2 linked regions of the Tribolium castaneum genome follow. The protein of the gene in region 2 interacts with the protein of the main gene of each other region in a pairwise test. Links are inferred from orthologs where the notes say so. Each region holds a gene or a part of one and is shown on either strand. Other genes may lie near its edges.

What was found.
Region 1: the proteins of BTB/POZ domain-containing protein KCTD9 (region 2) and tun interact in binary tests that used the Homo sapiens proteins (3 or more experiments, as listed by UniProt). The link is inferred for Tribolium castaneum from reciprocal best matches to the Homo sapiens genes KCTD9 and NTAQ1.

The regions. Positions count from the first base shown.
Region 1 is NC_087396.1:24,512,212-24,516,407, forward strand, and holds the start of tun (protein N-terminal glutamine amidohydrolase), read left to right. Parts: upstream 1-1,396; 5' UTR 1,397-1,561; coding exon 1,562-1,677; intron 1,678-1,683; exon of another isoform or gene 1,684-2,335; coding exon of another isoform or gene 2,336-2,367; intron 2,368-2,416; coding exon 2,417-2,570; intron 2,571-2,620; coding exon 2,621-2,894; intron 2,895-3,316; coding exon 3,317-3,441; 3' UTR 3,442-4,196. Other genes in the region: MTPAP (poly(A) RNA polymerase, mitochondrial), read right to left, coding at 1-174, 223-404, 450-546; uncharacterized protein LOC663387, read left to right, coding at 622-685, 730-1,118, 1,185-1,343. UniProt on the Homo sapiens protein: Mediates the side-chain deamidation of N-terminal glutamine residues to glutamate, an important step in N-end rule pathway of protein degradation.
Region 2 is NC_087395.1:16,846,912-16,850,328, reverse strand, and holds BTB/POZ domain-containing protein KCTD9, read right to left. Parts: upstream 2,006-3,417; 5' UTR 1,904-2,005; coding exon 1,850-1,903; intron 1,797-1,849; coding exon 792-1,796; intron 746-791; coding exon 629-745; 3' UTR 501-628; downstream 1-500. UniProt on the Homo sapiens protein: Substrate-specific adapter of a BCR (BTB-CUL3-RBX1) E3 ubiquitin-protein ligase complex, which mediates the ubiquitination of target proteins, leading to their degradation by the proteasome.

The DNA.
Region 1 (4,196 bases), on a different chromosome or scaffold from region 2:
AATGCTTAAAATGGCACTTTTGGACTGCTTTAATTTTGGTAATTTACGATTTGAAGCCCTAAACCACAAAAATTGTGACTGGACTGGAACCACTTGACTGTCTTCCAGATAAGAACTGCGCTCAAGAACATTGGTTACGTCCTTTTCGGATGCAAATTCCACCACAATGAAATTCTAAAACGGCCCAAAATACAAAAAAATCATAGACGTTTAGGCATTTACCAGTGGTTCAACCCCAACTGTGTAGTGCAACATTTGCCTAACATTCCCCACAGAATTGCAATACGAGTGGAGTTCTTTAAAGGACTGAGCCGATTGGACTTGCACTAAAATACTGCGTCTGGCCTCCTCTCGCCGAAATTTTATAACGTCCATAAAGGGCACAAACGACTCATTTTGCTTCACTGAAAGCCCACATCAAAAAACCAGTGACATAACTTAAACTTTACCTTGTTGAGACAATTGGCGTACAATATCACTACTGAAATTGAAGAATTTCTTTCGCCCAATTGAATTTTTCAAACGGCAAGTCAAAAAAACCGACATTTTTGAGGGGGCTGCCGCGGAAGTGGCCAAAGTCACGTCACTCCATGTGTTGGATTTGTGAGGTTAGCTAGGAACATGTGTGACAAGACGCCCAAAAAAACAAACAATTCTACAATTTGTGGCTTTTCGCCGGTTACTCGTACGTATAATTTGTTATTTGGTGAGAATCACGCTTCGTTTTAGTGCATGAGAGTCCAGCCCAGGTGTCACCCCAGAAAAATTTGACGGGACTTCCCCGAATCGTGCGGGATTTGGTGGCCGATGTTTACAACAATATCCAGAAGTGGAATGATTTACATATCAAGGGGTGCACCGTTGTTAAGGAAATTGCGTCTTTGAAGGCCGATAATCCCAAAGATTTGTCCCCAAATTTGGAACAATTAACCAATGATTTGTACGGATTAGTACAGTCTTTGAGGCATTACAAGGAGGCGTTAATTCTGTTCTCCAATCAAATGAGGGCTACGGAAAAGTTGCAACAAAATGGCAGTCCGTTATTTATTTCACTCAATTTAAAATCTTTGGCCAATTTGGTCGAAAGTGTTATAAAAGCGTACGGGGAAGAATTTGAGGTGAGTTAGATCATTAAAGATTCAGCCAGTTAAAGCAAAATTGTTTTCAATGCCTTTAAATTCCAGGTGAAAGAATTCGTTTTGGAAAACATCGCACATGCGAAGAACTCGGACGAAGCAATGTTTCTAGCCGCCTTATGGACCTATCAGTACAAAATAAGCGATTCAATTAATTCAAAATTGGAAGTTTTGCTTGTGGAAACAGGCCATCGAAAATTTACCTGATTCAAAAATGTGACCATAGACACCAGTCAGTGCGCGTGCTTTGGTGCCCCTGTTTTTGACCTCCAAGGTCGTACTTGTCAAATATGTGATGAAATAGTGCAGTGCGGCATTTTTTCCAATATCAACAATCAACAAAAAGATTTTGGGTGAAGGTGATCAAGTCTAGAGGAACTGCTGGACGTTTTTCCCCCCTTTTTTAAAGCAACCAACTCAAAGACATGGCGTCTGATTCTAAAACCCAAATTATACAACGACCCAATTCGGAAAACAACAAGAAAAACCCAATTAATCTATTCCCCAAGCAGGCCGAGTGTTCGCACGTGTCCTGCTACTGGTGAGTGTCTAAAACTCAAAATTTTGATGTTTTTGGTTTTGAGGTTAGGTTCGTTGTTTTGATATTTAATAGTGCCGCAGCGTTGCTATTCTTATTGCAAGGTGCTTTACGTAAGATTTATTTTTATTGTCTTGGTGGTTCGGTGCGCGATTTCGAAAAATTCGTTTAAAATTGTACCACAGGAAGAAATCTGTTTGCGTGACCTACGCATATCAATTATTTTTTGTTCCCTCTAGAGCGTGTGTGTGATTAAATTGGGGCTAAGTACATATAGAAAAAATTAACAAAATCGGGCACTCCTTCGTTATTTTGCTAATTAGCCGAAGAAGTGATTGAAATACAACATACAACCTTGTGCGTTTGCGTCAGTTCGTAAAAAACACATTGTTTTACATTTATTTATTTAAGTTATGCAAAAAGGATCGATTTTGTGCTATAAATTATAATCTAATTGTCGCTTTATGGTGCTTGGACATGCCACGCTTTTTCAATATTTTATTATGAATTGTGATTCTGCAAGTTTCTTCAATCAGAGTTTATTTGGTGTTTTCCGGTTTTTGCATAATTAATGCCTGAAATTTTCACCACATGCACATTCATGCGCACACCTTTGTATTGTTGTTGTTATTCACACAGCTTTGGCAACCCTCCATAAAGCATGGAAAAAGTAGCCACTTTTTTAGTCAAATGGTATTTTGCTCGCGATTTTGTGAATATCATTTGATGGTTTTTGTTGCAGTGAAGAGAACGTTTACAAGTTGTGTCAAGACGTGTCGACGAGACACTCGACTGAATTAAATAAATGTTTCGTAGTTTTTGTCTCAAATCCAAGTCGGACCGTTCCTTTGTGGAGACAACGGGCGGGGAAAGACGAGGATAGATTAGTTATTTGGGTTTGTGTTTAACATCCAGTCAAAACGTGTGGAAATCACGTTTTTTGCAGGACTATCATGTGATTTTTTTGTATCATCCTGAGCCGGAAAAATGCTTGGTTTACGATTTAGATTCCGAATTACCGTTTCCCACATACGTTCACAAATACGTGACGGAAACGTTTCGCACGGACCACATTTTGAAACCGGATTATTTTAGATATTTTAGAGTGATTCCAGCGGCGGAATTTCTGAGGGATTTTTCGTCGGATAGAAGGCATATGAAGAGGCCAGATGGCACGTGGATTAAGCCACCGCCTAATTACCCCGCCATTCAGACAGCTGGTAAGTAATCGAATTTTTAGGTCCAAAAATGCCTAATAAAATATAGGTGGAAACTCTATAAAATGTTTTTTTTGCTGCGCTTGTGCATTGTCAACAAAACGAATATCTAAAGCTTAGGAATAAAACGTTCCCGTCTGTGATAGTTCCGTTAATGTCGCCCAAGAGCGCAGTTTCATTACCGTCGAAAATTATTTCAAAAAATGGTTGTATTAATATAACGGTTAGCACAAGGTGAAGAAAAAAATACAGACAGATAGAGCGTTAAATTCTCAATAGTAAGACATAAACATAATGCAAAAATGTTAATTTAAACTATATTTAAAAAAATTTCAAAGTTTTACCAATTTGTACACTGTCCGATATTTTTCAAAACGTTGCGAATACGGTTACAGATACCGATTTAAAACTATTAAAAAAAAAAGAAATGTTTTTTTCAGCAACTGCTCACAATCTGGAGGACTACATCCAAATGGACTTGAGCAAGGGCCCCGGTCAGGTCCTGAATTTGACCCAATTCGTGCAACGCTTTTATAAGCCTGCAACATAGTTATTCTAAGACGAAAGAGTGAACAAACTAAGTCAATTTTGATTTGTGCTCTTAACTATAATAAGAGAGCATAATCTAATAAATGTCTGTCATCGAAAATCTTTTCTCTGTCTTGGTATATATTTCTCTCAAACTTTTACTCTATATCCTCTTGAATGTTGATTGGGATTTTGATGTCTTGTTACGGATTTTTAAGCGATTGAAGTACTGATTTTTTAGCTTGATGTGCTCATTTTAATCTTGCCATCCACATGTTTCTTATGCTTACATTTCACTTAAAATGTGATATTTTTCTTTAGGAAAGACGATGTTGAGGGGGAGTTTTCATTACGTAGTTTAATGTTACATGTCCACAAATTTATATAAGATTTACCAAACTTTTATAATCCATGTGATGTACATTGTGTCATGTTCCAATTCTAAAATCTTGGTGTTGATAAGATTCGTTTAATCTGTCGGTTTTTAGCGTATCTTTAAGGCCGTACAGTTTTCAATTCAAATTTTTACTAAGACTGCACATTTGCCTTCCAATATACACAAACGTGAAATTTATTACGCCATTTGCAAGTACAATCAGTTTTTTGTGGAATGTTTTACTACTTTTCTTGTTTTTATGATAAGTATATTAAAGTACAAATTATTTAAGAATTCTTTTGCTTAGAACAAAGGCCTAAATAAGTGTTACTTGTACGTAGCTTAGTCAGTTTTGTAACTCTCGTCTTATTGTTAAATTCAATAAAGCACTTGAAAACTCA
Region 2 (3,417 bases):
ATTATTAAATTACTGGTATTAATCTAATAATATTAGATAATTACTAAAATAGGAACCTCTAGGGCCGTTTTATAGAAAGCTCAATTTAAGTTGATTGCTCTGTTAAAAGTTAGCTACTCGAAGAGACCAATCAAATTGCTACAATTTGGTCACGTGATCAGTTAATCACGCAATTAATTGCGAACTAAATTAATGACGTTTCTGTAAACCGGTCCTTAAACTTTACCGTGCCGTCTATGCGTGTGAAAACTGTAAAACTGTTTCTGTAAAACAGAAAATTACAGTAATCTACAAATTTCTGGAAACCATTTTAAAGTTACAGACTCAAAATTGTGCAAAATTTGTAAACCTTGTAGTTTTCTCAATTTGCGGTAAATGACGCAACTTACAATGCCATGCGTGGATGATTTTTCAAAATTACGAATTTTCATTTAACTTTTAATCCTCATTTGACCTGAAACTCGTGTTCCTTAATTTTCAACAAAAGCCCAAATACCGACTTTCATGTCCATAACTTTAATAATTCTTTAAAAATGACGTAAAACATAATACATAATAAAAATTACATCGCAATACACAACCTAGGCTAGTTTAATGGTAAATTTATACAAAATCGATCACAACCACTTTAACGAATCGTCTGCGACATGTGCAGCGGAGTCAGCATGAGTTCAAACGCGGCGTCCTTTAAATTCGCCCCCCTCAAGTTAGCTTCATGCAAATCGCTACCCGACAAGTCGCAAAACTGTAACAGCCCCAATTATTTCACAAAATAGCCCTTCTCACGTTACCTCCAAGTCCGCCCCGGCCAAGACGGCGGCTCGCAGGTCGCAGTTCTGCAAATTGGCGTTCTTCAAGGTGGCCACCCTCAGGTTGACCCCGCCCATGTCGCTGCCCTCCAGGTTGGCCCCCTTCAGGTTGACGCCCTCCATGTTGGCCCTGCCCCCGGCCGGGTCCTTGAAATTCGAGTTCTTCATGCTGACGCCCTCCAGGTTGGCGCACAGGCACTTCACGCCCAGGAGCTGGGCCCCGTCCAGGTTGGCGTAGGACAGGTCGGCCCTCTCCAGGCAGCAGTAGCTCAGGTTGGAGCCGGTCAGCTTGCAGCCTTGCAGGTTGGCGTACTTGAAGTTGATGTAACGCAGGTCCAGTTTGCTCAAATCAGCGCCTGATAAATTGACTCCTTGGAAGCGCAGCTCGGTCGTGTAGGCACTTCGGATTAAGGCGTCGATCACATCACGTCGGGTTAGCGGTAAATTGTCTCTGTTCACACTCTGCTGGGCGATTATCTGCTCCAAGGTGGGGATTATTGACTCAATCCCGAAAAAGCGCGCCTCTTCGAGGATCCCCTCAGGGTTTATGTTACTATCATAGATTAATTGACCGTTTCTTAAGTAGTTGATTATGGGTTCGAAGTATAAGGGGCTCCGATCGATGAGAAAAGCCCCGTTTTTGTCGATATTGCTGGGAGTGAACAAATAACCGTCCTCATCGCCCGCGAACATTCGCGCCAACATGCTGTCGGGCTCTTTGGTCGTTAGAGTGCTTTTAGACGTTGTGAAGTACTTCCCACCAACATTCAGCGTAACCCAGTCTGAGCATTTTACTCTTTTGGTGGCATTTTTCGGGGGAGGAATGAACTCCTCGCCACTTGAAACGTACAGATTGTCGTTATTGCGCACAAAGGAAATTTCGGTGACTTCGGTCCCGTCTTCGATAAACAAGCGACGGACTTTCGAGTTAAACCTTAAATACGCCTGGCTCACTAACTCTTCCAAGGTTTGCGGAAGTGCAAAAACCTGGAAAAATTACTTTTAAGTGTTAACACCACCTGGGAATCCCTCAGGCCCACTTCTCCATTCGTGTTCGTCCCGTTCCTGAATATGACCACCCGTTTTTCGCTCATTTTATTAAAATTAAACCCTAACAACAATTCGCAAATTCAAGGAAATTGATGTCAAGTGGCAAGACGTCACAAACTGGATGTCGATGGTGCTGGCACCATGAAAATTACAGTCGACCAGACAATCGCTGCGCGCGATTCTCGTTTTCTATAGCCAAGTTCACACTAGGAAAATTATCAAAATAATCGTAATTTTTTTTGCAGGAGATTAAGCCCTTCGCTAGGGCCTTTGACTGTAAAAAAATCATGTTCGGACAAACACCCCTTGATACCTTAATGAATTTTTAAAGATTCTTTAAGATTTCCCGATTTCGCAAACATAATTTTTTTTTCACCCCCTTTATATCCCGCAATTTTCTTTATTTTTGAAAGAGATTAAGCCCTTCGATAGGGCCTTCGACTGTAAGAAAATCATGTTTGGACAAAGACCCCTTGGGACCTTAATGAATTTTTAAAGATTCTTTAAAATTTCCCGATTTCACAAACTTTATTTTTTTCAATCTCTTTATATTCCGCAATTTTTTTTATTGTTGAAGGAGATTAAGCCATTCGATAGGACCTTCGACTGTAAAAAAATCATGTTCGGACAAACACCCCTTGAGACCTTAATGAATTTTTAAAGATTCTTTAAGATTACCAGATTTCGCAAACTTAATTTTTTTTCCACCCCCTTTATATCCCGCAATTTTCTTTATTTTTGCAAGAAATTAAGCCCTTTGATAGGGTTTTCCACTGTAAAAAATCATGTTTGGACAAACACCTCTTGGGACCTTAACGATTTTTTTAAATTTTTATAAAGATTCTCTATTTTGCAAACTTTATTTTTTTTCACCCACTTTATATCTTGCAATTTTTTTATTTTTGCACAAGATTAAGCCCTTCGATAGGGCCTTCGACTGTAAGAAAATCATGTTTGGACAAAGACCCCTTGGGACCTTAATGAATTTTTAAAGATTCTTTAAGATTTCCCGATTTCGCAATTTTTATTTTTTTCACCCTCCTTATATCCCGCAATTTTTTTTATTTTTGCAGAAGAATATGCCCTTCGCTAGGGCCTTCGACTGTAAAAAAAAAATATGTTCGGACAAACACCTCTTGAGACCTTAACGATTTTTTTAATTTTTATAAAGATTCTCTATTTTGCAAACTTTATTTTTTTTCACCCACTTTATATCTTGCAATTTTTTTATTTTTGCACAAGATTAAGCCCTTCGATAGGGCCTTCGACTGTAAGAAAATCATGTTTGGACAAAGACCCCTTGGGACCTTAATGAATTTTTAAAGATTCTTTAAGATTTTCCGATTTCGCAATTTTTATTTTTTTCACCCTCCTTATATCCCGCAATTTTCTTTATTTTTGCAGAAGAATATGCCCTTCGCTAGGGCCTTCGACTGTAAAAAAATTATGTTCGGACAAACACCTCTTGAGACCTTAACGATTTTTTTTAATTTTTAAGAAGATTCTCTATGTTGCAAACTTTATTTTTTTTCACTCCCTTTATATCCCGCAATTTTCT